Linked DNA regions of Macaca fascicularis. The protein of the gene in region 2 purifies or fractionates together with the protein of the main gene of each other region. This does not show direct contact. Links are inferred from orthologs where the notes say so. Each region holds a gene or a part of one and is shown on either strand. Other genes may lie near its edges.

Region 1 (3,812 bases), on a different chromosome or scaffold from region 2:
GGCACAGTGGCTCACGCCTGTAATCCCAACACTTTGGGAGGCCGAAGTGGGCTGATCACTTGAGACCAGGAGTTCGAGACCAGCCTGGCCAACATGGTGAAACCCTGTCTCTACCAAAAAATACAAAATATGCTGGGCATGGTGGCACATGCCTGTAATACCAGCTACTGGTGAGGCTGAGGCAGGAAAATCACATGAACCCATGAGGCAGAGGTTGCAGTGAGCTGAGATTGTGCCACTGCACTCCAGCCTGGGCAACAGGTGAGACTCTGTCTCAAAACAAAAAACAAAACAAAACCCCTTTCCTGTGGCTATATTCAGTATCTCTTTAGTACATTATCATTACCCTTAGCGTATATACTGTACTACATCTAAGAACTGGGCAATGATTTGAAAGCGTTTTTGCAAATGCAGAGATTCAAAGTAGCTTTCTATGTAGGCTATTTCAATGAAGTACATTTATTCTTATTGTCTTCATTTTTCACAGAGAATGAGTAGGTTGAAATGGAATGAGGCCGGGCGTCATAGCTCACGCCTGTAATCCTAATAATTTGGGAGGCCAAGATGGGTGGATCACTTGAGGCCAGGACTTTGAGACCAGCCTGGCCAACATGACAAAACCCTGTCTCTACTAAAAATACAAAAAGTAACTGAGTGTAGTGGTGCATGCCTGTAATCTCAGCTACTCAGGAGGCTGAGGCACAAGAATCACTTGAATCCAGGAGGCGGAGGTTATAGTGAGCCGAGATTGTGCCACTACATTCCAGCCTGGGCAACAGAATGAGACTCTGTCTCAAAAAGAAATAAATGGGGCCGGGCGAGGTGACTCATGTCTGTAATCCCAGCACTTTGGGAGGCTGAGGCGGGTGGATCATGAGGTCAGGAGATTGAGACCATCCTGGCCAACATAATGAACCCTGTCTTTGCTAAAAATACAAAAATTAGCTGGGCATGGTGGCATGTGCCTCTAATCCCAGCTACTCAGGAGGCTGAGGCAGGAGAATTGCTTGAACCCAGGAGGCGGAGGTTGCAGTGAGCTGAGATTGTGCCACTGCACTCCAGCCTGGTGACATAGTGAGACTCCATCTCAAAAAAAAAAAAAAAGAAAAAGGAAACAGAATGGGATTTTTTTTATCTAGGGAAATTCCTTTACTTATATGAGAAAATGATTATGATTAACATTGAGGTTTCTTTAACATTAAGTTGGATTCCAGATATGATTACTGTTATCTCTTTCCATTTTTTTATTGGATGACAGGTTGCTTAAAGTGAAAGAGAAGGACCTTTTTTTAATCACTAATATTTCTATGAATGCAGGAAGGTTGTTATTGGCTCTCTAGGTTGATTGTAATTCTTATCTCAAATTAAAAGTCCTGATTAAAGGAAAAGAAAAAGAACGCAAAACAATTAAACTTTAAAAAATGGTTAGGCCGGGCGCGGTGGCTCAAGCCTGTAATCCCAGCACTTTGGGAGGCCGAGGCGGGCGGATCACGAGGTCAGGAGATCGAGACCATCCTGGCTAACACGGTGAAACCCCGTCTCTACTAAAAAATACAAAAAACTAGCCGGGCGAGGTGGCGGGCACCTGTAGTCCCAGCTACTCGGGAGGCTGAGGCAGGAGAATGGCGTGAACCCGGGAGGTGGAGCTTGCAGTGAGCTGAGATCCGGCCACTGCACTCCAGCCTAGGCGACAGAGCGAGACTCTGTCTCAAAAAAAAAAAAAATGGTTGACTTTTTTCTTTCTCTTTCAGATATATGGTACATTTGCTGGAATTGGCTGTGACTTTCATTGAGAGATTAGAAACCCACCTTGAAACAATTAGAAATATACCTCATTTAGCTGCAAATCTAAAGAAAATGGTGAGTATTAATATAACTATCTTTAGTTATTTTATACTAGAATCTTAGAGGTATGCTCTCCCAGTTTAACTTTTTAATAGCTAATATTACGAGCTAGTTATTTTTTAAATCAAGAAGTGTTTTCTTGGCCAGGCAGGTGGCTCACGCCTGTAATCCCTGCACTTTGGGAGGCCGTGGCAGTTGGATTACTTGAAGTCAGGAGTTGGAGACCAGCCTGGCCAACATGGTGAAACTCCATCTCTACTGAAAATACAAAAATTAGCTGGGCATGGTGGTGCACGCCTGTAATTCCAGCTACCCAGGAGGCTGAGGCAGGAGAATTGCTTGAAACTGGGAGGCAGAGGTTGTAGTGAGCCGAGATCGTGCCACTGCACTCCATCCTAGGCAACAGAGCAAGACTCCATTTCCCCAAAAAAAAAAAAAAAAAGAAGTGTTTATTTAGACCTTGGATTTAACATTTTCTTTTTCATATAATTTTTCTTTAGAAGCCATTTTAAATTCTTTTATTCCAACATTTAATAAACATGTGTTGCCTTCATTGTGCTGTGGCTATGCTACATGTATTGTGAAAGATAGATATGACCAAACCCTGCCTTCAAATTCTCAATGTTTGGTGAGACAGCTATAAAATATGTATTTTCTACTTTATAGGATTGTATTTGCATAATCGATGCAGCAGAGAATTATAAAGAGATGCCATCTATTGAGCATAGAAAAGAGAGGAATTACTTCCAGTCTAGGAGGATTCTGAGTAGGATAGGGGTAGGAAGACTTCAATTAAGTTTTTGTTTTGTTTTTTAAATAGAGACGAGTTCTCACTATGTTGCCTAGGCTGGTCTTGAACTCCTAAGCTCAAGTGAGGCACCTGCCTCAGCCTCTCAAAGTGCTGAGATCACAGGCATGAGCCACCACGTCCGGCTTCAATAAAGATTTATTTAGGTGTTAGCAGTAAGCCGAATCTTTTTTTTTTTTTCTGAGATGGAGTTTCACTCTTGTTACCCAGGCTGGAGTGCAATGGCATAATCTCGGCTCACTGCAACCTCCGCCTCTTGGGTTCAAGCGATTCTCCTGCCTCAGCCTCCCAAGTAGCTGGGATTACAGGCGCCCACCACCACGCCCTGCTAATAGTTTGTATTTTTAGTAGAGATGGGGTTTCGCCATGTCGACCAGGCTGGTCTCCAACTCCTGACCTCAGGTGATCCACCTACCTCGGCCTCCCAAAGTGTTGGGATTAAAAGCCTGAGCCACTGCGCTTGCCAAAGTAAGCTGAATCTTCAGGAACAGGTGAAATTTAAGTATGGGGGAAAAGTGATACTCCACTTTGGCTGGTGCCTAAAGGTATTGAGGAGATTAGCTTAGGGTTAGTTTATGCAGTGCCTTAAAAACCAGACTAAGAATCTTAGACTTTACTGTCTGAGTATTGGGGAGCCATTGGATATGTGTGTGTGTATGTGTGTGTGTCTATGTGTGTGTGTGTTTTCTTTTTTTAGTGAAGGGTGCAGAGGAGTGACTTGATTAGAACTGTGCCTTAATCATGGAGAAAATACTGGATAGAGCAGACGGAGCCTTGCTACTCCTAAGTATGGGCAGAGAGTATCAGCATCACTTGGAAACTTGTTTTAAATACAAAACTACAGACATCATGCACCCTAGACCTTCAGAATCAGAATCTTATGTTTTAACAAGCTCCTCAGGTGATTCCTGTGCACATTAAAGTTCGATCAGCTCAGGCCAGGCGCAGTGGCTCACGCCTGTAATCCCAGCACTTTGGGAGGCTGAGGCGGGCAAATCACAAGGTCAGGAGATCGAGACCATCCTGGCCAACATGGTGAAACCCCATCTCTACTAAAAATACAAAAATTAACATGGTGTGGTGGCGCACGCCTGTAGTCCCAGCTACTTGAGGGGCCGAGGCAAGAGAATCGCTTGAACCTGGGAGGCAGGTTGCAGTG
Region 2 (4,273 bases):
GACCTCAAATGATTTTTCCACCTCAGCCTCTCAAGTGCGGGATTACAGGCGTGAAACACGATGCCCGGCCTAATTCAACAACTATTTCGAAAGCCAGGCTCTGAACTGGACACCAAGGAGAAAGTGATGGCCTAGGCAAGCCCGCTGAGTGAAAGTTCCATAAATACTGCCTTTCCTCAGGGCCCGTCTTCCTCTGCTCTGGTCTCATACTGATGCCCACAGCGCATTCAGCTCTCTGACGGGGCCCAGCAGGCTCGCCAGAACTCCAGCCCTACTGCTTTCTGGGCATCCCGCAGACCTCTCACACCTGCTGTGTCCCAAACTGACCCACCCCTGCTGCTTATTTTTACCATCCCTACCTGGTGGTGTGTCTGTCTCCCCACTGAACTGTGAGCTCTGTACAATAGGGACAAGGGCTGTCGTGGTCACCATGTTGTCCCCAGCATCACCCAGCACAGAGTCAGCTCCCTGAGTTTATGGAATGGTAAGCACAAATGAATGGGAAAATGCATGCCAGGGAAATGTTAGGGTCATACTATCTGCCCCTACCCTCCACTCAGACATGGGACACCTGTTTCTGAAATCAAAGAGCAGTAAGTCCAGGATCTCATTCCCTGGTTCCAGTCCTCCTAGGCTGCAAGTCCCATTTTGTCAACAAAATAAAGGGGGCGGGCACGGTGGCTCACACCTGTAATCCCAACACTTTGGGAGGCTGAGGCGGGAGGATCGCTTTAGCCCAGGAGTTCAAGAGCCCAGAAGCTGAGACTAGCCTGGGCAACATAGTGAGATCCCATCTCTATTAAAATAAAAATGTTGTTTTTTTGTTTTTGTTTTTTTTTTGAGACAGAGTCTCGCTCTGCCGCCCAGGCTGGAGTGCAGTGGCCGGATCTCAGCTCACTGCAAGCTCCGCCTCCCGGGTTCACGCCATTCTCCTGCCTCAGCCTCCCGAGTAGCTGGGACTACAGGCGCCCGCCACCTCGCCCGGCTAGTTTTTTGTATTTTTTAGTAGAGACGGGGTTTCACCGTGTTAGCCAGGATGGTCTCGATCTCCTGACCTTGTGATCCGCCCGTCTCGGCCTCCCAAAGTGCTGGGATTACAGGCTTGAGCCACCGCGCCCGGCCTAAAATAAAAATGTTTAATTAAAAGAAGAAGAAGAAAATAAAGGGAAGCATCAAGGACTCTTTTGCCTCTTTCGGGTTAGCTGGTAGTGAGCGAGAGAACGAGGGAAGGCGGGCGGGGCCGCCGGCTCTCCACGCCCTTTTCATTTCCACTCAAGGAGACCCACCTGGGAAGAGTGAGCGCTGCAAGACCCAACCTTACCACGCTAAGGTTACTACGCAGCGCCGGAGCCCGCTGTCTGCCCGGCAACCGATGACGTCCTGTTGGCGCGTCCGTGACGTCAGAGGCGGGCGCCACACTTGAAGAGGCTGAGGGAGGCGGTGGCGCAGCTGTGGCGCTGTCATGGAGCTAGCGCGGGAAGCGCGGGAACTGAGTTGCTGGGCGGCCGAAGAGATGGGGGTGCCCGTGGCAGCCCGAGCCCGGGAATCGACGCTGCGCAGGTGAGGACCGCTCCTGGAGTGAGGACTCCCCACCCTGGAGATTGAGTCTCCGGGAGTGAGATCTCCACCCCTCATTGAGGACTCGACCCCCCGTTCCCCATCGAAAGTGACCCGAGTTACTGAGGGCTCCCTGCCCTGGGAGGCTTCCCAGAGTGAGGTCCCTAGCACTGGTGAGAATCCTCCACGAGTTAGTGAAGATCCCTCTCCGTATGGAAATAGGATCTCCAGGGTGAGGCTGTCCCCGCAGCACCTCCCCTTCCCACCCTTACCCCAACCAAAAAGGACACTCAGGAGTTAGCCGTGGCCACCCCATCGGGATTGAATCTGTAGGAGTGATGCCCCACATCTGGCCATGAGATGGCACTTCCTGGCAGTACATCCCCCACCTCCACCTCTGAATGTGACTGGATAACCCTCTCCCAGGAGAAAGGGAGCCCTCGCCACTCACCCCCACCCCCACCCCCCATCCCCCACCCCCGCCTTCCCGGGGAATGAGAATACCACCATACTTAGTGCAAAGATCCAGTCCCTACAAAAATAATGTTTTACCAATTAGCCGGGTGTAGTGGTGCCTGCCTGTAGTCCTAGCTGTTCTGGAGGCTGAGGTGAGAGGATCGCATGAGCCCAGAAGGTTAAGGCTGCAGGGAGCTATGATCATACCACTGCACTCCAGCCTGGGTAACAGAGCGAGACTCTGTCCCTAAAAAAAAAAAAAAAAAAAAAAGTTTGGGCCTTCCCTCCCCAAGAAGTGAGAACTCCCTAATAAAGACTCCCTACCACCATCACCTTGGGAATGAGGATCCCACACCCTGTGTGCTGCCCCAGGCATACGCTTACACACTGTCCCCACAGGCTGTGTCTGGGCCAGGGGGCTGACATCTGGGCCTACATCTTGCAGCATGTGCACAGTCAGAGGTAAGTTGGGCTAGAGTAGGGGAGGGGGCACAGGTGAGGTCCGTAGTAACTCCTCTTTTTTCCTCTGCACTGTAGGACTGTCAAGAAGATCCGAGGAAACCTACTCTGGTAACTGCTTCTTAAAGCTATCCCTTCCTATCCCCACTCCCATCTAGCCCTGTCCTCACCACAGCATCACACCTGTTGCCCTCCCCACTGGAAGCCCCACTCATCCACTGACTCTGGTCTCATTTTCCTAGGTATGGCCACCAGGACAGTCCACAGGTAAGAAGCATATGCTGCAAGATTCTCTTTCATCCGAAAAATGATTTGTAGATCTCCTGCTCTAAGCCCAACCAGGTGCTGGGTGATGCTGGGGACAATGGGTCACAAGATAGCCCTGATCCCCATCCTCATAGGGCTTAAAGTCCAGTGGAGATAGCATTAGCTCAGCTGGGAGCAGTGGCTTACACCTGTTATCCCAGCACTTTGGGAGGCTGAAGCGGGCGGATCACCTGAGGTCAGGAGTTCGAGACCAGCCTGTCCAACATGGTAAAGCCCCATCTCTACTAAAAATAAAAAATTAGCCAGGTGTGGTGGTGCACACCTGTAATCCTGTCTACTTGGGAGGCTGAGGCAGGAGAATTGCTTGAACCTGGGAGGCAGAGGTTGCAGTGAGCCGAGATCGCTCCACTGCACTCCAGCCTGGGCAATGCAGTGAGACTCTGTCCAAAAAAAGAAAAAAATATAAAGAGATAGTATTAGCTGGGGGCAGAGAGGTGGGACATGGATATGTGGCATCAAAGCTGCTGAGAAGAGATGAAGGGACAGGTTTGGGAGAGATGCTGAGGCCAGTGTAGGACCTAGTGGGTGTAAGAGGCTCATATGACACCTGAGGGGAGGCTTCCAGGAGTCCTTGGGACTTCTAGGTGCAGGGCTCCAGGAAGAGATCAATACTAGGACAAAGATGTGGTTGTCATCAGCACAGACAGGAAACAGGAAACAGGCTGGAAGTATGGGTAAGACAATCCTAAGAGGAAGGAGGGAGCCAGTACCCTAATGCTTCTGCGTCAGACACAGAAACTGCTGAGCAAAAACCCTTTGCCACCAGTTGAGGAGCCTGGTACCCCCAAAAGACAGGCCAGGCTGAACCCCGATCAGACCGTGCATCTCACCCTGAATCTGATCCTCCCAGGTCCGTCGGAAGTTAGAGCTGGAAGCTACCGTGACCCGCCTGCGGGCAGAAATCCAGGAGCTCGACCAGAGCCTGGAGCTGATGGAGCGAGACACTGAGGCTCAGGGTGAGCCATGGGGCCAGAAAATGGGCAACAGAATGTGGGCCGGGAAAGGTGCTGATGGCCACCCTTGTTCCTCCTACAGACACAGCCATGGAGCAGGCACTTCAGCACACTCAAGACACCCAGCGTCGAGCTCTCCTCCTCCGGGCCCAAGCTGGGGCCATGCGAAGACAGCAGCATAGGCTCCGAGATCCCATGCAGCGGCTGCAGAATCAACTGAGGCGCCTGCAGGACATGGAGAGGTGGGCCTCAGGGACCCACCCTCACCAGGCTGGGCAGCCAGACATTCTCTTAGAGACCTCAGGGCTCTGCCCCGATCCCTTCTTGGGTTCCAGAATTCTCAACTCCCACCATTAGGATGGAAGGTCCATGAGGCCAGGAGGTTTTGTCATCTCAGTCACTTATATTTCCAGTGCCTAGAATAACAGCTGTATACCTAGAACACCAGCTCTGGGGAAACAGCCACAAACAGAGAACAAGTCCTTGCCCTCCTGGAGCTTACACTGTGACACGGAGAAGAC

What was found.
Region 1: the proteins of HAUS5 (region 2) and HAUS2 purify together in Homo sapiens (affinity purification with mass spectrometry; 5 studies listed by BioGRID and IntAct, with this or other methods). This does not show direct contact. The link is inferred for Macaca fascicularis from reciprocal best matches to the Homo sapiens genes HAUS5 and HAUS2.

What each region holds. Positions count from the first base shown.
Region 1 is NC_088381.1:19,171,863-19,175,674, forward strand, and holds part of HAUS2 (HAUS augmin-like complex subunit 2), read left to right. Parts: intron 1-1,751; coding exon 1,752-1,860; intron 1,861-3,812.
Region 2 is NC_088393.1:42,849,963-42,854,235, forward strand, and holds the start of HAUS5 (HAUS augmin-like complex subunit 5), read left to right. Parts: upstream 1-1,415; 5' UTR 1,416-1,462; coding exon 1,463-1,560; intron 1,561-2,412; coding exon 2,413-2,475; intron 2,476-2,550; coding exon 2,551-2,583; intron 2,584-2,714; coding exon 2,715-2,739; intron 2,740-3,649; coding exon 3,650-3,755; intron 3,756-3,834; coding exon 3,835-3,994; intron 3,995-4,273.